Oryctolagus cuniculus: one gene and its partners. The protein of the gene in region 1 interacts with the protein of each later gene in a biochemical or structural test. Links are inferred from orthologs where the notes say so. Each region holds a gene or a part of one and is shown on either strand. Other genes may lie near its edges.

Region 1 (4,568 bases):
CTGCGGCACTGGCTTATGTTTGTTTTGATCTAAATATTTTTTTACTTCTAAATGATTTCACCTTTAGAGTTACAAGGAGGTTTAAGTTTCCAAACATTTGGAGTGTCTTTGGCTCTTGCCTGTGGTCGAAGAATACGGCCTGTGTGAGATTCACTATTTGCTATCCGTTAATGAGATTTGTTTTGGTCACTTTTTGTAGATGTCTCTTATATGATTCAAAGAACCATGCTGCGATAAAGGTCCTTTCAGCATCTCTGACCAGCATTAGTCATTGTATTAATATCTTCTAAATCCTTTGGGCGTTCAGTTTATTGGTTACTGTAAGAGGTATTTAAAGATTTATTTATTTATTTGAAAGTCAGAGTTACACATCTTCCATTTGCTGGTTCACTCCACAAATGGCTGCAATGGCAGGGCCTGGGCCAGGCTGAAGCCAGGAGCCAGGACCTCCTTCAAGGTCTCCCACATGGGTGCAGGGGTCCCAGGTCATTAGCAGGGAGCTGGATAGGAAGTAGAGCAGCCAGGACTCAAGCTGTGCCCATACAGTATGCCTGGGCTGCAGGCAGTGGCTTAACCCACAATGCCACAGTGCCAGCCCCGTGAAAGAGGTCTTAAAACTCTGCCTACAGGGGCCAGTGTGTGTCATAGCAGGTTAAGCCACCACCACCTACAACACCAGCATCCCACAGAGGTACTGGTTGTTGTCCCAGCTGCTCCATTTCCAATCCGTTTCCCTGCTAATGTGCCTGAAAAAGCAGCAAAAGATGGCTCAAGTGCTTGGCTCCTGCACCCTCATGGGAGACCCAGAAGAAGCTCCTGGCTTCAGCCCAGCCTAGCCCCAGCCACTGCAGCCACTGGGGGAGTGAATCAACAGATGGAAGATCTCTCTCCTATAACTCTGCCTTTCAAATAAACAAATCGCAAAACAACTCCCACTGCAATGGCAGAATTGGCAGTTCCTCCTATTAGTCTGTCATTTTTTTAAAAAAATATTTTATTTATTTATTTATTTTAGAGGTAGAGATTCAGACATTGAGAGGGAGAGACAGAGAGAAAGGTCTTCCATCTGCTGGTTCACTCACTCCCCCAGTGGGTGCAACAGTCAGGAGCCAGGACCTTCATCCAGGTCTCCCACTTGGGTGCAGGGGCCCAAGCACTTGGGCCATTTCTACTGCTTTCCCAAGCTTACTAGCAGGGAGCTGGACTGGAAGTGGGGCAGCCAGGACCTGACCAGGTGTCCATATAGAAAGCCAGCACCGCAGGCCAGGGCTTTACCCACTGTGCCACAACATGGACCCCCCATCTCCCAAACTCTTGAAATCACAGCTTATCAGTATTTTTCCTTTAGAGGTTAGAAGGTACTATTACATCTTTCTCAACTTTGTACACTTAGTGCCGAGAAGTTGGCTGTTGGCATAACGTTTTAAAGTGAATCCATCCTGGCCGGCGCCGCGGCTCACTAGGCTAATCCTCCACCTGCGGCGCCGGAACACCGGGTTCTAGTCCCGGTCGGGGCGCCGGATTCTGTCCCGGTTGCCCCTCTTCCAGGCCAGTTCTCTGCTGTGGCCAGGGAGTGCAGTGGAGGATGGCCCAAGTGCTTGGGCCCTGCACCCCATGGGAGACCAGGAGAAGCACCTGGCTCCTGCCTTCGGTGCCACGGTGGCCATTGGAGGGTGAACCAACGGCAAAGGAAAATCTTTCTCTCTGTCTCTCTCACTGTCCACTCTGCCTGTCAAAAAATAAAGAAAGAAGTGAATCCATCCTTTTGTGGTAGCTTTTAAGATCCAGCTTTTGGAGTTCTGAAATTCACTGCAAAGCTGTCTCGGTGCTGACTTTTTAGCTCGGCTTGCTCCAGGGTAGTCCCCCCCTCCCCCCCGATTTATTTATTTATTTGAAAGGCGGAGAGAAGAGGAGAGGGAGGGAAAAGAGAGGGGAGAGAGGGGAAGAGAAAAAGAAAGAAAAGTCTTCCATCCGCTGGTTCACTCCCCAGATGGCTGCAACGGCCAGAGCTGTGCCTATCTGAAGCCAGGAGCCAGGAGCTTCTTCCGGGTCTCCCACGTGGGTGCAGGGGCCCAAGGACTTGGGCCATCTTCCACTGCTTTCCCAGGCCATAGCAGAGAGCTGGATCAGAAGAGCAGCAGCCGGGACATGAACCAGGGCCCATATGGGATGGCGGCACTGCAGGAGGCAGCTTTATGCGCTGGCCCCCGGTCCAGGTTTTCCGTGGGAGCCGTGGTCTTGAGCAGCGTAGGGGGACCCGCCCCTGCTCTCCGCTGCCCTGCTCGGCCGGACCTCGGGTGCTCCCTGCCCCTCTGCCACGGGCCCCCGCTGTCCTCCACCACGGCCTCTGGGTGTTCTGGGCCCCCTCCAGCTCCGCGATGTTCTCTTCTGCTGTCTAACCTGCTTCCTTACCTCATCGTCTGAGGCCTGCGTTTGCACGGCTCGGTTTTTGAACTCTAGAATCCTTCCTCAGACCCAGGCATTGCTCCCCGGCGCCGTGCTTTCCTGGCGTTTAACCGCCCCGTCCCCTGAGCCTGGCTGTTCTCCTACCCCAGGCCTCCCGCGGGCCCCGCAGCGCCGAGGGGACGGGCCGTCCAGGGCGCGAGATGCGGGCGAGGCCGCGCCTTCCCTCAGCCGCCTCACTCCCACCTCGGTCTAAACCGGAGAGGAGCCGCGCGGGCCGTGATGTCACCGAACTGTGACGCGCCCCAGCGCACACAGACCCCAGCCCCTCCGCGTCTCTGCAGAGAATCCAGGCCCGCGGCGCCGTGACGTCATGGTCTGGGCGGGCGGCTTTTGCGTCGGGCCAATGGGAGCGACGCGCCGGCCTCCCCTTTAAGGAATGTTGTGACCTGACGTCACCGGAGCGAGTTACCTCCCGCCGCCGCTGCCGCCGCGTTCAGCGCGAGCCCCGGAGCCCTTGAGCGCGAGGCGCGGAGTCCCCGGAGACCCCGGATCACAGTCCCCGGATCACAGTCCCTTCCTCGAGCCGCGCGCCCCGGAGTCCCGGCTGCGCGCCCCACCGGGCCCGCGCGATGCCCTCAGACAGGCCTTTCAAGCAGCGGCGAAGCTTTGGTGAGGCCTGGCGGGCGATCCGGGGACAGGGGGTGGGAGATCCCTGGGGGGCAACCGACCCCCCAGTGCCGCAGGTGACGTCAGCCCCATGACGTCAGGCTCCGGCCTACCGGGTCTGTGAGGCCGCTCTGGCCTGGGCTGGGGCTACCCGCCTCCCCACCGTGTCCCCAGTCTGGGGCCGAGAGGCCGGACGGCTGGGGGCGGGGGCGGGGCGGGGCCGGGAGCCGCCCCTCGGAGACCGGCGGGCGGAGCCGCAGGGAGGACCTCAGGCCGGCCGGTCTCACCGCCCCGCCGCTGTCCGCTGTCCGCAGCCGACCGTTGTAAGGAGGTGCAGCAGATTCGTGACCAGCACCCCAGCAAGATCCCGGTGAGTCCCTCGGCCCCGGCCCGGCCCGGCCCCGCCCCCAGCCCTGGCTCATTTGTGGTCCACCTGCCCGCTCCCAGGTGATCATCGAGCGCTACAAGGGTGAGAAGCAGCTGCCAGTCCTGGACAAAACCAAGTTCCTGGTCCCGGATCACGTCAACATGAGCGAACTGGTTAAAATCATCCGGTGCGCAGGCAGCAGCTGCCCGAGGGGCTTGGGTCGGGTCTCCTGGAGGAGTGGAGTGAGGTCAGGGGCGTAGGCCTGGCCTTGGGCCTGCGTGCTGGGGAGCTGGGAAAAGCCAAGGCCCGAGCTTGAGTCCTTGTGGGGTGGGAGGTGAGGGCCTCTGGCAGGGAGCAGGGCCACCCTCCCTCACCACGGGTTTGCCCTTCCTGCCTGCCCCAGGCGCCGCCTGCAGCTGAACCCCACGCAGGCCTTCTTCCTGCTGGTGAACCAGCACAGCATGGTGAGCGTGTCCACGCCCATCGCCGACATCTACGAGCAGGAGAAAGACGAGGATGGCTTCCTCTACATGGTCTACGCCTCCCAGGAAACCTTCGGCTTCTGAGCCAGCAGTAGGGGGGAATTGGCCTGGGAGTGGGGGACCTGGTCAAGCTCTCCCCAGGGAGCGCCTGGCTCCTGAACTGAGCTGCCCCTGGTGGGCTGGGCAGGCATGTGGGCCCCTAGCCAGAGGGGCCCAAACAGCCCCCTCTGCTCCTCAGTGGATCTTGGGCCAGTCACATTAGGGTTGCCCCTCTGGGTGCTGGTTGGGATGGGGAGGGTGGAGAGCTGCCCCCAGCACCCCTGCTCTGTGTGGTTTGTTTTTTTTAGGCCCCTGCCTGTCTGCCCCTCATCCTCCTGAGGCTCTGTCCCCTGCCTGGACCTGTCCACCCCTGAAAGACTGGCCCCTGGCTCCCCCACCTCCACACGTGTATGGATCTGTGGTCACTGTCCCTCTGCAGAATAAAGATTGCTCAGGCCTGCCTGGCCCTCTGCCTCCAGCTGCTTCTTGGGGCGGGGGGGGGGGGCGGGGGGGGGGCTGCTGGTGCTGTCCTACAGCATGCTAGCCTGCCAGCACAGGCTGTAGACTCAGGGTGCATTCTGAGAACCCACACCTAGGGTAGAATACTG
Region 2 (4,460 bases), on another chromosome or scaffold:
CCACTGCATGCTCTAGGAACTTTAAACTGACCATAACCATTACAACTTCTTAATAAATAATCAGGAATAAACAGTACCAAATGCCAGACATTATTCTACACACTTTATACACACTAACTCCTTCAATCCTTCCAACAACCCAATAAGGTAGATAACAGTTATTATCTTCATGAACTACGCAAACTAAGTGGTTAAGTGGTCTGCTTAACGTCACACAACCAGGAGGCGGAAGAGATCTAAACCAGGCAGCCCAGGGCAGGTCCACATTCTCAACCCGTCTGCTCTGCTGAGACTGACATGCTTGGTACATTTGCAAATTCGCTATATGCAATACCTGACATGACAAATGCCAAAATTAATATGCAGAGTTAATACACTGGAAAGAAAGACAATTACTGAAGATGACGAGGAGAACCTATAATGAGGTTGCAAATATGAAGTACATTAGAAAAAAAAAGCAGGTTTCCTAGACTGCAAGCTTAATAAAGTGTCACCGTGGTTAAGAGAGAACAGATGCAAAAGCATCTCACCTTAGATTAAAGGACTTTCATAACAGTTCTACGTTAACGTATTATCCTCATTTTACAAACGGAGGACGAATTTATCTTCTCAAAATCACACTTAGCATCAGTGACAGAACCAAGATTAAAATTCAGGTAAGACTTCTCAAGCAATGCTATTTCTTCTGGCCTACTCCTTGAACAAGTTCTAAAAGAGTAAGAAAACCAGAGGGAATGATGGCATTTCATAACAGGAAGCTGACGGTTTTACTGTATGGGAAGAGACGGATGAGAAGCAAAAATGAAGACATACAAGTACTGGCTCGTACTACCGAGAGGCGGTGACAGTGGGCACCTTAACGCACTGCAACACAGAGCCCTTAGGAATAAGAGGTGGGCTGACGCATGAACGAAACGCTTCTCCCCTTAAAAGATTTTGTAACACAGGAGCCTGGTACAGCAACTAGAGGCAAGGAGACGCGGGCTGGAACAGGATTCGAAAAAGGGAAAAGAAAATGAATAGTCCACCCGGGATGTCAAGCCAAGAGACAGCAGCTAGGCCCCCTTCATCCAAAAGCATGCGTTCTCCGTCCACTTCGAGCCCCTCGGCGTCATCCCAAAGCCCATATAAAACGCCTACTTCGCCACTTCGTCTCCCAAACTACCTTGACTGTCTCCAGACTGGCCCCTTCCAGCACCACAATGAGCCTGCGGCCTCCGCTCTTGCTTCCTGCCCCGAGTCGAGGCCGCTTGGGCGCCGCAGCATCCCAGTCCTCTTCCCGCTCCCCAGAGCGCCACTCACGAGGCTGGAATTCACCATTGGGGGCAGCCATCTTGCCACCGGGCCGGAAATTGCGCCGGCGTCCTTAACTGAGGACCCCGCGTTCGTCCAAATGGCAAACTTCCTTCCGCCTGCCATTTTGAAAGTGGGCGCTGGAAAATGGCGACGCTTTGCCGTCTCGCGCTAGCGACGCCTCCCCGGGAGGGCAGGGTTCCAGAAGGGGGCGGGACTTCCGGGTGCGCGCGTCTGTGCGCGAAGTTTGGGTCCTCCTTGCGCGCAGGGGGCGGGTTTAGAGAGGAGCGCACTTCCGGTGCCCTTTCTCCCGGGAGCAGCACGGCCTCGAACCCTCGTGTGTGGGTGTGATCTCTGAACGAGTGGGGTCGAGGCGGGCCGCCGCCCCAGCTCTGACCTCCGGTGCCGCCGGCCTCCGGACCAGACATGGCCCAAAACTTGAAGGACTTAGCAGGACGGCTGCCCGCCGGGCCTCGGGGCATGGGCACGGCGCTGAAACTGCTGCTGGGGGCCGGCGCCGTGGCCTACGGCGTCCGCGAGTCGGTGTTCACCGGTGAGCAACCTCCACCGCTAGCCGGACCCCAGACCCCCGGCCTGCGTCGCCAGCTCCCGCGTTCCGCGAGCCCCTCACTCCCCCCGCCCTCAGCCCAGCACGTTCTCCGAGCAGCGCACTGGCCTGACCCTCACTCCTCTCCCCACAGTGGAAGGCGGGCACAGGGCCATCTTCTTTAACCGGATCGGGGGCGTGCAGCAGGACACCATCCTGGCCGAGGGCCTGCACTTCAGGTAATGGAGGGTGGAGCACAAGGACCCCGAAGCTCCCAGTCGCCGACCCACCGCTGGCTGTGGTCGGACTTGGAATGGGAGTCGGCGCTGCGCTTTCCCCGCCTCAGCCGCGTGCTGCCCGAAGTTGGATCAACACATGACCTGTTGTTCGCCCCTTGTCTGTGGTCACTGCGGGGAGGGGCAGGCCAAAGACCGCGTGGCGAGAGGAAGCCAGGCAATGCTGGGAAGCCGCAGTCTCCTAACACCTGTTCCCGTCTCTTCCCGCCAGGATCCCCTGGTTTCAGTACCCCATTATCTATGACATTCGGGCCAGGCCTCGGAAAATCTCCTCCCCCACAGGCTCCAAAGGTAGGTCTGGGTGCTTGAGAGTCACGTGGCAGATTGGACCCCCTAAAAATTGAATAAGGGAGCCCAACTAGAGACCCTTGGGGAGGTCCCTATGACCTTGGGTTCCACCTCTGCAGAAACAGCTCTAACAGAACCACCTGCCTCCCAGGGCCAACACGGTCCAGATACAGTGTGTTTGCATATTTTTATTCTTGGCACCTCCCTCCACTAACTCAGGAGAGCGCTGCCAGGCCTTTGTCTTACTCCCAAGATCAAAGCTTTATTTGAAAGCCTTTTTTCTCTCTTGCTTGACTCAGTAGCTCATCCATGAGTACCCTGTGTCCTGGAGAAATTTCTCCCCACTCCTGCACCTGCTCCTCTTCCTAGAAGCCTTTCCTTTGAGATTGCTTGGCCGCCTTTTCATCCCACCTACACACACACAGATGTGTACACACTTAGGCGAGTAGCATACCTGTAGCCTGTAATGTGCCCTGTACTGATTTTAGCACAGGTCCATTCTTCATTGGATAAATCCTGGGAGTAAAGGATTTCACTGTCTAGTAGAAGAGCCAGATGACAGGGCCTGCATTAGAGGGTGCATGAATACAATGGCAGAAGAGGAGTCGGCGCTGCCTTTGGCTCCCCAGATGCCCTCGTGTGTGGGCACACATGCTGTGTCTGTGTTCCCTGTTGGCCTGATTGCACCCCTTCCCCAAGGGGGGCAGCAGGCTGCGTGTCATTGTTCTGGGCCTAGGAAGAGAAAGGGCTCAGGGAAGGACACTCGTCCTTGGCCATCCACTGCTGACCTCACTCTCAGACCTGCAGATGGTGAACATCTCCCTGCGAGTGCTGTCTCGACCCAATGCCCAGGAGCTGCCCAGCATGTACCAGCGCCTCGGGCTGGACTACGAGGAGCGAGTGTTGCCGTCCATCGTCAACGAGGTGCTCAAGAGCGTGGTGGCCAAATTCAATGCCTCGCAGCTGATCACGCAGCGAGCCCAGGTCGGCCCCCCTCACCGTCTGCGCGGTGTCATTGCCCTGCTAGACCCAGAGAACTAAATGTCCTGAAAAGGCAGCTTCTTAGAAAAGGGCCATAGCTGCCGTTCCACTTCCACTAAAAGCTGAACTGATGGCCACGCGAGAAATGAGAAAAACCAGCACCAGAGCTCGAGGGCACTTGGGGAGGGAGCGAAGGGAAAACCTAGGCTTCTCCGGTGCCTCTTTCGGCACAGGGGCTTGTGTCACGGGTCGGCCCGACAGGAAGCTAAGTAGCGGAGACAGTTGGAGGACCTGCTAGCCTGGGGTGGCTGTCCCACCTCCGAGGCTGTGCCTCCCTCCCCCCCCCCAACTCCCCACCCCATCAAATGCGAAGATGTTCTGTTGAGGAACCAAGAGAGGCTGGGTGAGCTGATGGCCACACTTACGTGATCTGTGTTCAGGTGGTCATAGCAACACAACCTTCCTTTCAGTTCTCCAATTCCCACAAACCGGCCCTGCCCTCCCCTCCTCACCCCTGCCCCCAGGTGTCCCTGTTGATCCGGCGGGAGCTGACGGAGCGGGCCAAGGACTTCAGCCTCATCCTGGATGATGTGGCCATCACGGAGCTGAGCTTCAGCCGAGAGTACACAGCTGCCGTGGAAGCCAAGCAAGTGGGTGAGTTGCAAGGGGAGGAGGGCGCGGGCGTCTGAGAATGTGGAAGAACGGACTCTGGATCAGGCCCCTGACCTTCACATCTGTTGACTGTTCCCTCCGCCTCTCCCACCCTGTAGCCCAGCAAGAGGCCCAGCGGGCCCAGTTCTTGGTGGAAAAAGCAAAACAGGAACAGCGCCAGAAGATTGTGCAGGCCGAGGGCGAGGCTGAGGCCGCCAAGATGATATCCTTCTGCCAGAGAGCTCCACTCCTCTCCCCTGTGGGCCGGCTGATGAGACTAAGGCGAATGCGACTCCGGCTCTCTGCCCCTGGGCTCCGGGGGTGGGGTGGGGGGGCTGCAGATGGGATCTGAGATCTTAGTGGGGGGCCTGAGGCCTGGCTCCCCACTGTAAGGTCAGATCAAT
Region 3 (4,696 bases), on another chromosome or scaffold:
TAATGACAAAAGGCATTATTTTTTAAAATTCTGCACGGGCCGGCGCCGCGGCTCACTAGGCTAATCCTCCGCCTAGCGGCGCCGGCACACCGGGTTCTAGTCCCGGTCGGGGCGCCGGATTCTGTCCCGGTTGCCCCTCTTCCAGGCCAGCCCTCTGCTGTGGCCAGGGAGTGCAGTGGAGGATGGCCCAGGTGCTTGGGCCCTGCACCCCATGGGAGACCAGGAAAAGCACCTGGCTCCTGGCTCCTGCCATCGGATCGGTGCGGTGCGCCGGCCGCAGCGCGCCGGCCGCGGCGGCCATTGGAGGGTGAACCAACGGCAAAAGGAAGACCTTTCTCTCTGTCTCTCTCTCTCACTGTCCACTCTGCCTGTCAAAAAAAAAAAAAAAAAAAAAAAAAAAAAAAAAAATTCTGCACGAAGCCTTGTGTAATTAGACGGTTTGAATTCTCTACAGTTTACATATAGGTTTCCAATGGGGTGAGTGGTGACAGCCTCAGCTTTCTCCAGCCATCCAGGCTGGCTTTTTTCTTTCTTTTTCATTTTCTTGATTAAAACCAAAGGCACTGCCACCAATCACAGCAAAACCTACACCAGGAACACTCGCCACCCCTGCCTTTCCCCAGAGCGTCCCACAGACCTGCTCCAGCACCAACGCACCCGGAGCATACATCTCTCCCGTCCCCTCCCCAAAGTGCCTACGGATCCAATTCCAGAGGGTTCTGTCTCACACAAAATCCTGTCTCCTCCTCTTCCCCGACAATCCTGGGCCTTCTTCCAGGTCCCTGCCTCTGGCATTCTTACGCTCAAGGTGTCCCCTGCACATCCGGTCACCCGGATTCCCTCGGACACACCGTGGCCTGTCCTTATCCTCGGTGCCCGCCTGGTGACTCAAACTGCCCCCCTCCCCAGGATTCATCTCAGAGCCACACAGCCCGTAGGCCCTTCAGATTTCACCCCCACACCCTCCGGCCCGAGGAATGCCCATCTCGCTCTCCTTCGGGAGACCACTCTTCTCACAGCTGTTTGTTTCTCAACTGACCACCTCCTGGCTCCCTCTTCATTTCCTAGGGACTCTCTCACCTTTAACCAGATCGGAGTCCGGGCTTTCCGGGCCCTAGGGCCCAGTTATCTGAGAAACCGCCCCCCGACTGTAATCGGTCCAGAAAGCCGCAGAAAACTCACGACGCGCAGTCTCAGTTTCAATTTATCTGTAATTCCCGCGCTTTCGGTCGCCATGGAAACCCGCCGCTCCCGCGGAGCTATAGCCTCTCAGCTTGCGAGATTAAAGGACGTCAGCGGAAGGGCGGAGCAGGAGCCTCCCAGCTCCGGATTGGCCATCCTCTCTTGCCCCACCCCACCCCCGCATGACGTAATTAGAAAGCGACGGGAGAAAGACTTCTGAGTTTTCTATTAGGTGGCCGCCCCCTCGCCTCTACGCTTCTGGTTACAGCTTATTACGTCACAGTAATTGCTGGACAAGGGTTGGAATCACTACCTGAGGCCTGAATATGAGCGCAAGGTAGTGCTCACAGCAGTCGCAAGAAGAGAGCCCATCCCCTCACCCTTTCCGCCGCAATGGACGTGCCCCGTTTAGGTAAATAAAAAGATTGTCGGGGGAAAGAAACTACGATCTCCAGCATGCATTGCGTAACGAAAGGCCTTCGCCACAGTGTTCCTTGGAAACTGTAGTCTTATGGAGAAGAGCTCCCGACTCTGGAAACGGGCACGATCCTCGCGACACGTAGTTGAAAGACTGGAGCCATCCGCGCGGTTATGCACGTCGACAGCTATGGACTGGAGTGCTGTTAGGTGTTTATATCTTAAGAGCGGACGCTAAAGAACCTGTAAGTTCCAGGAAGACTACAATTCCCGTCAGGCCTCGCGTGTCCACTAAGGTCAGCGACCTGAGGGAAGGCGGAGGACGCGGAGTTTGCTTGGGGAGGGGTAACCCGCCCCAGCCTCGGACTGCGCATTCGTAGTTCCGCCCCTCGGCCCCGGTGTTTGTTGTTGTTGTGAGGGTCAGGTTGTGTCTTCCCCGCCCCCGCCAGGGCAGTCTCAACCAATCAATGGGGGGGTGGTCGTTTTGAGGGACAAGGGTAAGAGCCAATCATCTTGTCGGAAACTCGGAGGAAACAGGGGACTAGGCCCTGTCTCTCTCCGCCATGTTAGATTCTGCCCGCAGGGAGAGCAGCAGAGCTGGCAGCGAACGGTCTTTGCACTGGCCTCCGGCAGGCGCCCCCCGGGGGCGGGAAGCTGGTAAGCAAGCTGCTGCGGTTACCTAGGAGTGGGGTCACGTCACACTGAATGGGTTTGGGGAAGTTCAGGGGAGGAACCCTGCAAATAGGGGCGACTTTTTCCGTGTCTAGGGGCAGCCAGTCTTTTCAGTGACAAGACGAGAGCCGTTCGCGCTCGGAGGGACCGAGGGAGCCGATGCCGCCGGCGGGATGGAGGGGCCGTGGCTCAGAACGCCTGGCTTGTACCGACGGGAGGTCGGGATCTCCCAGTACAAAGAGGGCCTAGGCAGAGGAGTAACTCCTTAGGGGGCGATGACAGTGTGTTGGGGACATGGAGTGCGAGGCAGACGGGGGGCTGGAAGAGCAGGATGAAGACGCTCCCCACACATCCCCCTCATCACATCGTCCCCTTTCTGAGACCCGCGTCCAGAGACCTTAGGGAACTTCGGTATTGGAAAAGCACTGTTTATCTCTTTTGTCAAACACCTAGCTTTCATATCACACTAAAAGCCCGGATAGGACAGTAATCAAAGCTCGCAGTCCCAGGTCTGCTTAATTAAAAGGATTTTTTTTGAGGCTAAAAAAAAAAAAAGAAGAAGAAAAAACCGACGTAGAGGAAAAGCTGACTTGTGCCAAGCTAAGGTGAGTCAGTGACATGAACTTATAATACCAGTTATGAAAGCCGAGGGCGTGGGCCCCAGCTACCTGACTGTACGGGCCCTACATCTATAGAGCCACGGAACGAGCCAGAGTTGAAGTATTTCCAAAGTTCAAGATTTATGCTCTCGTTTGAAAGAGTTTTCACATGAACGCCAAAGAGATAGGCAGTTCTTTATGAAGACCTGGCTGTGGTCCAGCTAAGCTAGAATCTCCCACTTCCTGTTTGCTCCCCGTTGGCAGACCAGCTGGGTGAGTGCCAAGTATCTGAACTAATTTCTAATGGGATAATTTGGGCAAGAAGGAGGAAGATTGGTTTCCTTCCGGACTTTCAAAAGTATGAGAATGTGTTTCTTGACATTGGAAACTAAAAGTATATTTCAGAATATTCACTTAGGGCAGGCTGAGTTAGTCACTTCATTTCTCTGATTTTTTTTTTGCACAAGGTCACAGGGAATTGTCAGGGATTCTACCCATATCATAAGGACCCCAAGAGATGTATTTCATGTGAATGACTGCTAGAAGTCAGTAGGATTGCTGCGAGTCTGGCATTACTTTGTGGTGAATTTAAGTGGAGAAAAAGAATGGGAAAATTTGCAGAGATCATTGAGTAAGTTTATAAAAATGAAATCCCGATCTTCAGAGATTTCAGAGTCTTTAAAGTGGCAGTCTCAGTTGTATTGTTTGAGAGTAGTTCGTTATACTGTGAAAAAAAAAATAGTATTTTTAAGCTTCTGAAGACTTATTTGAGGGAAATACATGTTCATTCCTAAACCTTTGCAATGGCTGGGTCTGAGCTAGGTAGAAGCAGGAGCTGGGACGTCAACCCAGGTCTTCTACATGGGTGACAGGTACCCAACTACCTGAGCCATCGCTTTTACCTCCCAGTCTGCATTAGCAGGAAGCTGGATTAGAAGCCAAAGCCTGGAACTGAATCCAGGTACTTCAGTGTGGGATGTGAGTGTCATAACCAGCAACTGTAAACTGCTAGGCCAAATGGCTACCCCTGAAGACTGGTTTATTGTAGTAATGTCCTTTTTTTTTTTTTTTAAGATTTTATTTATTTACTTGAAAGGTAGAGTTGCAGAGAGAAACTCTTCCATCCACTGGTTCACTCCCGGAAATGGCTACAATGGCCAGGGCTGGTCTAGGCTGAAGCTGGGAGCCTAGAACTCCATCTGTGTCTCCCATGTGGGTAGCAGAGACCCAAGTACTTGGGCTGTCATTCACTGCTTTTCTAGGCATGTTAGCAGGGAGCTGAATCAGAACTTTGATATGGGATGCAGGCTTAACCTGCACCAGAACACCTGTACCCTATTATATTAATTTCTTCTTCTTTTTTTTTTTTAAAGATTTCTTATTTATTTGAAAGCGTTACAGAGAGAGATAGAGTCAGAGAGAAAGAAAGGTCTTTTATCCGTTTGTTCACTCTCCAAATGGCCACAACGGCCTGAGCTGGGCGGATCCAAAGCCCGGAGCCAGGAGGTTCTTCCGGGTCTCCCAGGTGGGTGCAGGGGCCCAAGACTTGGGCCATTTTCCACGGCCTTCCCAGGCCATAGCAGAGAGCTGGATCAGAAGAGGAGCAGCCAGGACTCTAACTGGCGCCCATAAGGGTTGCCGGTGCTGCATGCCAGGGCTTTAACCTGCCTCAATACAGCGCCAGCCCCTATTGTATTAATTTCTATACTTGAAAAATGTTTTCAAAGAATTTGCACACAGATTTTATCTGATCCTTACAATAACATTGTGAGACAGGCAAAGCAAAGAGATTAGATCTATTTTACAGATTAGAGAGCTGAAGCTCT
Region 4 (4,023 bases), on another chromosome or scaffold:
TGAACTTTTTGAAGACTAACTCGTATATGAATTTAAGTTTTTTGTACCAAAATAAGATTATCTTTCAATTCCATTATCCATGAGCTTTTTGAAGTACTCTAGTGTGTGTGTGTGTGTGTGTGTGTGTGTGTGTAAAACTAACAAATCCCCTGTAATTATGTCGGCTGTTTTATCACATGTGTGTCCCAGACGCCCACTGCGCACCCTGTTGTATCCAACGTTCACTGTTATAAAAACCATTGTAGTGAACAGTGGTGGTCGTTTTCCTCTTTATTTCAATTCTTCAGAGTAAGTTCTGTGGGGCGGGCCTGTGAGTGTTAATGTTGCCACCTGGTAACTGGTTTCACCACAGCTTCTTCAGCTTTGGTTGTCTTCTTTCCCACTCTGCTTTTTTGTTTTTTCCAAGTTGTAAGTTTCACCCTTCCTTCTTCCCCACTGTATCTCCTGAATGTTGTCTTCCTAGTAATAATGTGTGTGTGTGTGTGTGTGTGTGTTTCTGTCTATTTATGTGAGAGATAGAAAGAGCTCCAGTCTGCTGGTGCATTCCCCAAGTGCTCGTAATGGCCGGGATTGGGTCAGACTGACAGATGCCAGGTGCTGAGAACTCACATGGGTGGCAGGGATCCATGACCCCGAGCCGTTGTCACTGCCGTCCTACCGTGCATTAGCAGGAAGCTGGGGTAAAGTGCCAGAGCCAGGGCTCAAACCCAGGTGCCCTGCTGGCATCCTGACCACCATGCTAAACACTTGCCCCTTTGAAAATATTAAAGGTTTCTATCTTTTCAAATCTTCAGACACAAAGAGCTTTATGTTTAATTTAGACAAAGTTCTTTGTAATGTGAAAAGAATCCCAAGAAATTCAAGCCTTTTGACTTCTGAAGATGACCCGATAAAGCAAGCTTCTCAGACTGTGTGAGGTCCTTCATCTTGAATTGTTTAACCTTTTACTAAGACGGGCGAGGACGAGTCACTTAAGTACAAAGAGTAATCTGTGGGGATGATTTTGCTTCCTTTCTGCTGTTTTTAGGACTGAAAGGACCAGATATGTCATTCATTTCAGTCTTGCTGTTTGTTTTGCCCTTGTGAAATGGGAGTTTTACCTTAACTGATCAACCAGTGGCAGAATTAGACTGCAGAAACTGTGGTTACTCAACTTCCTCATCTGGATACATACTTAAATATATAAGTGTATATTTAAAAAGTTACCAAGTGGCTGGCACGCGGCTCACTAGGCTGATCCTCCGCCTGCGGCGCCAGCACACTGGTTTCTAGTCCTGATTGGGGCGTCGGATGTCCCAGTTGCTCCTCTTCCAGTCCAGCTCTCTGCTGTAGCCCGGGAAGGGAGTGGAGGATGGCTCAAGTGGTTGAGCCCTGCACCTGCATAGGGAGACCAGGAGGAGGCACCTGGCTCCTGGCTTCAGACTGGCGCAGCGCGCCGGCTGTAGCAGCCATTTGTGGGGTGAACCAATGGAAGGAAGACCTTTCTCTATCTCTCTCTCACTGTCTAACTCTGCCTGTCAAAAAAAAAAAAAAAGTCATCAAGTATGATTCCATTTATGGGAAGAGTGGTTGCCGGGGGAGAAGGGGAGGAGAGAGAAGGGAGTTTCTTTTGGTAGGTATGGGGGGTGTTGGGGGTATTCAAAGTGTTTTGGGACTAGTAGCTGATGGTGGCACAAGCATCCAGGTATACTAAAAGAAAGGCCCACTAAACTATATACTTTAACATCGTAAATTTTAAGCATCCAGGTTTCAGTGGAAAATATTTGTTTTTTAAGATTTTTTTGTTTATTTGAAAGAATTACAGAGAGAGGGAGGAGAGGCAGAGAATTTCTCATCCGCTGGTTCACTCCCCAAATGGCTGCCATGGCCCGAGCTGGGCTGGTCAGGAACTGTGAGCTTCTTCCAGGGTTCCCATATGGGTATGGGGGCCAAAGGACTTGGGCCATCCTCTGCTGCTTTCCCAGGTGCATTAGCAGGGAGCTGGATGGGAAGCAGAGTACCCTGGACTCAAACTAGTGCCCATATGGAATGCCGGCACTGCAAATGCTGGTTTAATTCACTGTGCCACAGCACCGGCCCCCAAAATATTAATTAGTCAGATTGCATTGGTGGTCAAGCATGGCAGAGTCCGTGGGAGAAGGCTGCCTGGTCATAGCCATGTGACTCTGGGATCCACCTCATGGGTGACTTGGGCCCACAGGAGGCCTCTGCCTGGAAGACAGCCCCCGAGTCCCTTCGCCAGGCCACTTCCCCTGGCTGGGGAGTGGTCAGAAGTAGCCGTGGTGGTAGAACTCTTCTGGCATCCTGGCTCCATAGGCCTTAGAGCCGCCTGTGGGGCTTCCAGTGACTCCTGCACTCGCGGGATCTCCACGCCTCGAGGAGGGTGGCTGATTCCAGAGTTCATTCATCTTATTTTTAGAGAGGCTCATGTTTGCTTTGTATACAACAGGTGCTTAATTGTTGAGTTTCACCAGTAAGACGTGTCAGAAATCAAAATTTCATTATCGCAGGCATGCATAGGTACAGTCATCCTCAGTATCCCAGAAACTGGTTCCAGGAGCCCCCATGGATACCAGAATCAACCGTGCTCCAGTCCTGATGTAAAATGGTGTCATCATTGCATGACTTACACACATCCTTCAGTGCTGCATACACGGTGGTTACCCCACAAGATAAAAACATCTGCACGTTACCACAGGTGCAGTTTTTATTTTAATTAATATTGTCAATCCGTGATTAACTTCGTAACTGCAAGACCCATGGATCCACAAGGCAGCTGTACGTGAGCAGCATGGCTTCCTTCGTAACGTGTGTAAAGTATTAGAGAATGGTAGCCGTGTGGAGGCCATGCCTGCTCACGTGGTGCACTGGGTGTGCATGGTTCAGTGAGGAAGAAGCTGAGGGTCCAGGAGCCAAGTTCTGATCCTCATTCTGCCACTTGCTGTCTTTTCCATTGTTGTTCAAGTGTCTGTTACGGAGCTTCAGTTTTCTGTCTGTATAATGGGGTGACAGCAGTGACCTCCCAGCGTGGTTTTGTGAACTGATACACACGTGGTGCGTAAAGCAAATTGTGTTCATCGTTATATTTTTAGCGTGTGATAGGTGAAAGTACTCAGAAATCAGAAGCTCTGGGTGCTGGGTTGTGTTTGAGATGAGAATATGGCAAGTCAACCATGCTTTCCTCTCTTCATTAGCTGTGAGAAATTACATGAATACATGTGTTTCCATTTGATGTTTGGTGCTGCACTAATACCGTGTGTTATGTCTTTTATTCTAGGATCTAAAGAAGTACCACTTCTACTACTGGTTTTGCTATCCCGCCCTCTGTCTTCCAGAGAGTATACCTCTCATTCAGGGGCCAGTGAGTTTGGATCAGAGGTTTTCACCAAAACAGGTATCAGCACATAAAACAAAGTACTGGTAACATTGGCTTCAGTGTGCAAATGTTGGTATCTGGACAGACGGGCACTGCTCTGGACAAGGAGGTGCTAACTCTGGAAGCCTCCGAAGCTGGCACTGGGAGCAGGCTTCTTTTTTCTTTTCTTGTTTGGAAGACAGAGTTACCAAGATAGAGAGAGAGACAGAGGTCTTCCATCTGCTGGTTCACTCCCCAAATGGTCATAATAGCCAGAGCTGTGCCAGGCTGAAACCAGGAGCCCAGAGCTCCTTTCAGGTTTCCCAAGTGGGTGCAGGGGCCCAGGTACTTGGGCCATCTTCCACTGCCTTCCCAGGGAGCTGGATCGCGCACTGGCTGCCATATGGGATGCCAGCGTCACAGGCAGTGGCCTTACGCACTATGGTACAGTGCTGGCCCGGGAACAGACTTCTTGACAGAATGTTCACAGGGTCATTTTGCAGATGCAGTCAGCAGGAGTTTTCCAGGTTTCCATGGTGTTTGGTGAGATGCTAAGCCAGCAAGGAGGGTTACAGGGACACTTTGAAAGACTGCAAGAATCTACCAAAACAGAGTCTTCACACTGAGTGGAGGGAAACCTAAGGCATCGTTCTGCGGGAAGAGCGTCT
Region 5 (4,023 bases), about 5.6 Mb from region 1:
TTTTGAAAGGCAGAGTTACAGAGGGAAAGGGAGAGACAGAGAGAGAGAGAGATCTTCCATCTGCTGGTTCATTTCCCAAATGCCATCAATGGCCAGAGCAGGGCCAGACTGAAACCAGGAGCCAGGAGCTTCTTCCAGGTCTCCCATATGGGTTCAGGGGCCCAAGCACTGGGGCCATTCTCTGCTACCTTCCCAGGCGCATTAGCAGGGACCTGAATCAGAAGTGGAGCAGCAGCCAGGACTCGAACCAGTGGCCAGATGGGATGCAGTGACTTTACCCACTATGCCACAGTGCTGGCTCCCATAACATGCGTTTCTGTGAGGTTTTTTAATTAATTAATTTATTTATTTATTTTGCCAGGCGGAGTGGACAGTGAGAGAGAGAGACAGAGAGAAAGGTCTTCCTTTGCCGTTGGTTCACCCTCCAATGGCCGACGCGGCTGGCGCGCTGCGGCTGGCGCACCGCGCTGATCCGATGGCAGGAGCCAGGTACTTATCCTGGTCTCCCATGGGGTGCAGGGCCCAAGCACTTGGGCCATCCTCCACTGCACTCCCTGGCCACAGCAGAGAGCTGGCCTGGAAGAGGGGCAACTGGGACAGAATCCGGCGCCTCGACCGGAACTAGAACTCGGTGTGCCGGCGCCGCAAGGCGGAGGATTAGCCTAGTGAGCCGCGGCGCCGGCGGTTTTTTAATTTATTTTGAGAGGCACACACATACACAGCTCCCATTTGCTGGTTCACCCACCAAATGCCCACAACAGCTAGGGCTGATCTAGGACAAAGCTAGAAGTTAGACTTGCAGCCCAAGTCGTGCATGCTATGGTGGGAGTCCGATTACTCGAGCCATCACCTGCTGCCTCCCAGGGTGTGTGCCAGCAGGGAGCTGGAGTCAGGAGTGGAGCTGGCACTGCAGGCACTCAGGCGCAGGTGTTAACTGCGAGGCAAACACGGGCCCTCCGTGTCCGTCTTAAGACTCCTTGTACTTCAGGCCTGGGCAGCCTCGGAGACCCCAGTCAGGTTTCCAGCTCCGGGATGCCCCACACTGGCTTTTCTTTCTCCGTCCCTGCCTCCTTCCTTGTGAGTTTCTTCATTGGTGGAGATTTGCAGTGATTCCCTGAGCATGGACAGCTGCTGCAGGGCCAGGGATGGGCGGGGCAGGGGTCTGTGAGTGGTAGCAGCCCCCCCAACTTCGCCTCCCCCCTTGCTACCTATCTTTGGCCTCTCCAGCTCCCCTCTGCCTGCTACTCCTGCCTCCCCCCAGTGGCCTCCCAGAACTGCACCCTACATTGGGACAGCCTTGAACTATGGAGGGGGTTGGGGGCCCAAGAGCTGCCAGGTGTCTCCATTACAGGGAGCCCCCCATTCCTTCCTGATATCACTGTATTTTTGTCCTCCAGGGGCTGCATCCCACCCGGGAGCCCCTCGCGGGGCACCACAGGAGGCGCCATCACTTCCTGCCGAGGTTCCTGGGGCCTCTGCACCTGCTGCAAACCCCAGCATCCCCCACGCTGGCCACAGAGAGGAGCCAAGTTACCCCTTGCCTGTCCAGGACACCCAGCCTCCCAAGTCCCTGGGAGAGGTGCGTCCTCACCGCCCGCCTACCTGCTTTTGTGTTCCTGTCTGCCCGCTTCTACCCTCTCAGGCCCTTACAAGAAGGGGGGCTGCCTCAGACCCACCTCAGGCGGCTGGCCAGGCCTTCAGCGTGTTGCTGCCCACAGCCCTCTGCCTCCAGCTGGCTTGGAGGCCACCGCTCAGAGGGCTCCGCGGTGGCCAGTATGAGATGCGGAGCTGGGGGAGGAAGCTGGGGCTTGACCAGCTGATGGGGAGGGTGGGACGAGGGAGCAGACAGCGAGCTGCAGTGATTGCCAGGAAGATCAAGTCCAGGGGAGAGAAGACTGTGTCTACTGAGAGGTCAGGAGTGGGCAGCGGGCACCCAGGAGACCTGGAGGCTAAGAAGGGGTCTGTGCGTGGCTGCAGAGAGGGGGACCCATCCCCGGGGCCACAGGTGGACAGGGACTGCCCTTGGGTTGATGCGTGTCTTCTGTGAGGTCAAGGCAAGGTTGCCCATGGACACGGGGTCCGGCTGCGTCTCCTTGGCTCCCGGGCTCTGTGCGGTGGCTGAGCCCTTCGGTAGCGGGGGTCCCCGGAGCGTGAGGCGCTCTCTGCCAGCTCTCAGGGGACGCAGCTGCTGATTTTCCCTCTTTCAGGGTTCAGAGCAAACGCCACACACACCCAGCTCTGGGGTCCTCCTGAGGACACCCAGCGTTCCCCTGGAGCCCTCCTCCTCTGACCCAGCAGCCCTCGGCCCTCCAAGCCCCAGCAGGCCTCAGGAGCAGGACACAGACTTGGCCAGCATCCACACAGCAGGTATGCATGGAATGTGGCGTTACAAGGTCTCACTGGCCTCCCCGAGAGGGTGAGAGGGTCAGCGTCAGGGTCAGAATGACTCCTCTGTCCTCCTGGACCAGAGACAAAGTGGGAATAAAGGGAGCAGAGGCTCCTTAGCCAGTGGATGGGGACGTGGTCACTGGCTAGGATGTGGTCGCTGGCTGGGGGCATGGTCACTGGCTGGGCAGATGTTGCAGTACATTGCTGCCCAGGTGGGGGAAGAGAATTAGGTCCATTTCTGCCCCCTGTCAAAGGGTGGGATGGCCAGGGCTGGGCCGACTGTTGGCAGCAGAGCTCACTTGGACACTGCCCTACCCCGTAAGTGTTGTCAGTTCCCAGCAAATCATCAGCTGGGGCCTGGCCCCACGCCAGACCTCAGTGCTGCCCCTCAGGAACGTGGAGCCGTCCGCCGCGACCTCCCAGGCCCACACCTCTCCACTGCCTCCCAGAGTGTGTTCCACGGGATGCTGGTGCCTGGCCAGCTCTCAGGGCCCCTGGGAGGCACCGAGCAGCTAAAGGCTGGGAGATGCCAGCTTAGTGCCCCCTCCTGCAGCTACCCCCAACCTGTTCACAGCACCTGCCTTGCACTTTGCCATGTCAGCTTTCCCGGGATGCCTTTCAGGAGGTGCCGTGGGGTCTGGGGTGGAGGTGGAAATGCACTTGGGTTTTAGGACATTTGTGGTCATGTGTCCCCAGAGAGTCTGTGCCACTGTTGTTGGGAGGAAGGCCCAGTGGAGTCACCCCAGGGAGACGTTTGTCCTGACAGGACATCTGTGTCCCACATCCGGGTACCTGGGTTAGAGTCCTGGTTCCAGATTCCGACGCCAGCTTCCTGTGCGTGCGGATCCTGGGAGGCAGCTCTGATGGCTCAAGTAACTGGGTTCCTGCACCCACATGGGAAACCTAAGTGGAGTTCTTAGGTCTGGCTTTGGCCTGGCCTAGCCAGCCTCAGCCATAGTGGGCACTTGGGGAGTGAACCAGAGGATGCGAGGTCTCTGTCTACCTTTCAAGTAAATAAAAATTAAAAAACAGAAGAATCACCCGATTGTCAGCCCTGGGGCCTGGCATGTGTGTTCCCGGCATCCCACGGAGGATCCTGATAAAACTGCGCTTCCTCTTGGGGCACTTTGTCCCTGCCCCCACATCTTCTGGCCCCTGGGGGCTGGTAGCTTCTGGTGCCACTTCAGCCTGAGCCGTCCTGCTCTCCCTGGCCTGATGCAGGATCGTCCCACTGGGATGTGCCCTGGGGGCGGGGGGACATCAGTGCTAGGGGCGTCCCAGGTCCCACCTGGCTAGGGAGAAGGTGGGAAAAGCAGGTGCAGGTGAGAGGGGGTGTCCTGGGCGGGAGAAGAATTCACGATAACCTTGCGGCTCCTGGGTCTTGCCAGGAGGAAGGACAGTTAATGCCTGTGACAGGGCAGACCTGGGGCTACAGGTCAAGGGCAGGGCAGCTGTTGGGACTCAGGCCAGTGGCTGCAACCATAAGGCCTGCAGCTGCAGAAGGCATGCTGAGCTCGGGCAGGGGGCCCTTTTGCAGCCCTTGGGATAACAGTTCCTTGGGTTTGTGTTTCCACTTTTGCTTTGCCACCTGCAGGCTCCGGCTCCAGCCCCGCGCCACCCTGCGGACCTGTGTCT

The links.
Region 2: the proteins of MAP1LC3A (region 1) and PHB2 form a complex in vitro, tested with the Homo sapiens proteins (2 studies listed by BioGRID). The link is inferred for Oryctolagus cuniculus from reciprocal best matches to the Homo sapiens genes MAP1LC3A and PHB2.
Region 3: the proteins of MAP1LC3A (region 1) and NBR1 form a complex in vitro, tested with the Homo sapiens proteins (2 studies listed by BioGRID and IntAct). The link is inferred for Oryctolagus cuniculus from reciprocal best matches to the Homo sapiens genes MAP1LC3A and NBR1.
Region 4: the proteins of MAP1LC3A (region 1) and ATG7 form a complex in vitro, tested with the Homo sapiens proteins (2 studies listed by BioGRID, with this or other methods). The link is inferred for Oryctolagus cuniculus from reciprocal best matches to the Homo sapiens genes MAP1LC3A and ATG7.
Region 5: the proteins of MAP1LC3A (region 1) and MAVS form a complex in vitro, tested with the Homo sapiens proteins (2 studies listed by BioGRID and IntAct, with this or other methods). The link is inferred for Oryctolagus cuniculus from reciprocal best matches to the Homo sapiens genes MAP1LC3A and MAVS.

Annotation. Positions count from the first base shown.
Region 1 is NC_091442.1:23,538,198-23,542,765, reverse strand, and holds MAP1LC3A (microtubule-associated proteins 1A/1B light chain 3A), read left to right. Parts: upstream 1-1,446; 5' UTR 1,447-3,035; coding exon 3,036-3,075; intron 3,076-3,386; coding exon 3,387-3,442; intron 3,443-3,519; coding exon 3,520-3,626; intron 3,627-3,842; coding exon 3,843-4,005; 3' UTR 4,006-4,012; exon of another isoform or gene 4,013-4,268; 3' UTR 4,269-4,426; downstream 4,427-4,568. UniProt on the Homo sapiens protein: Ubiquitin-like modifier involved in formation of autophagosomal vacuoles (autophagosomes). While LC3s are involved in elongation of the phagophore membrane, the GABARAP/GATE-16 subfamily is essential for a later stage in autophagosome maturation.
Region 2 is NC_091440.1:102,571,267-102,575,726, forward strand, and holds the start of PHB2 (prohibitin-2), read left to right. Parts: upstream 1-1,541; 5' UTR 1,542-1,719; coding exon 1,720-1,846; intron 1,847-1,994; coding exon 1,995-2,079; intron 2,080-2,347; coding exon 2,348-2,427; intron 2,428-3,223; coding exon 3,224-3,408; intron 3,409-3,929; coding exon 3,930-4,059; intron 4,060-4,175; coding exon 4,176-4,279; exon of another isoform or gene 4,280-4,315; intron 4,316-4,320; exon of another isoform or gene 4,321-4,460. Other genes in the region: EMG1 (ribosomal RNA small subunit methyltransferase NEP1), read right to left, coding at 1,166-1,333.
Region 3 is NC_091448.1:19,834,058-19,838,753, reverse strand, and holds the start of NBR1 (next to BRCA1 gene 1 protein), read left to right. Parts: upstream 1-1,385; 5' UTR 1,386-1,844; exon of another isoform or gene 1,845-1,895; intron 1,896-2,169; exon of another isoform or gene 2,170-2,256; intron 2,257-2,724; exon of another isoform or gene 2,725-2,876; intron 2,877-3,337; exon of another isoform or gene 3,338-3,501; intron 3,502-4,696. UniProt on the Homo sapiens protein: Ubiquitin-binding autophagy adapter that participates in different processes including host defense or intracellular homeostasis.
Region 4 is NC_091441.1:115,796,786-115,800,808, reverse strand, and holds part of ATG7 (ubiquitin-like modifier-activating enzyme ATG7), read left to right. Parts: intron 1-3,277; coding exon 3,278-3,394; intron 3,395-4,023. UniProt on the Homo sapiens protein: E1-like activating enzyme involved in the 2 ubiquitin-like systems required for cytoplasm to vacuole transport (Cvt) and autophagy.
Region 5 is NC_091442.1:29,184,531-29,188,553, forward strand, and holds part of MAVS (mitochondrial antiviral-signaling protein), read left to right. Parts: intron 1-1,397; coding exon 1,398-1,579; intron 1,580-2,207; coding exon 2,208-2,367; intron 2,368-3,982; coding exon 3,983-4,023.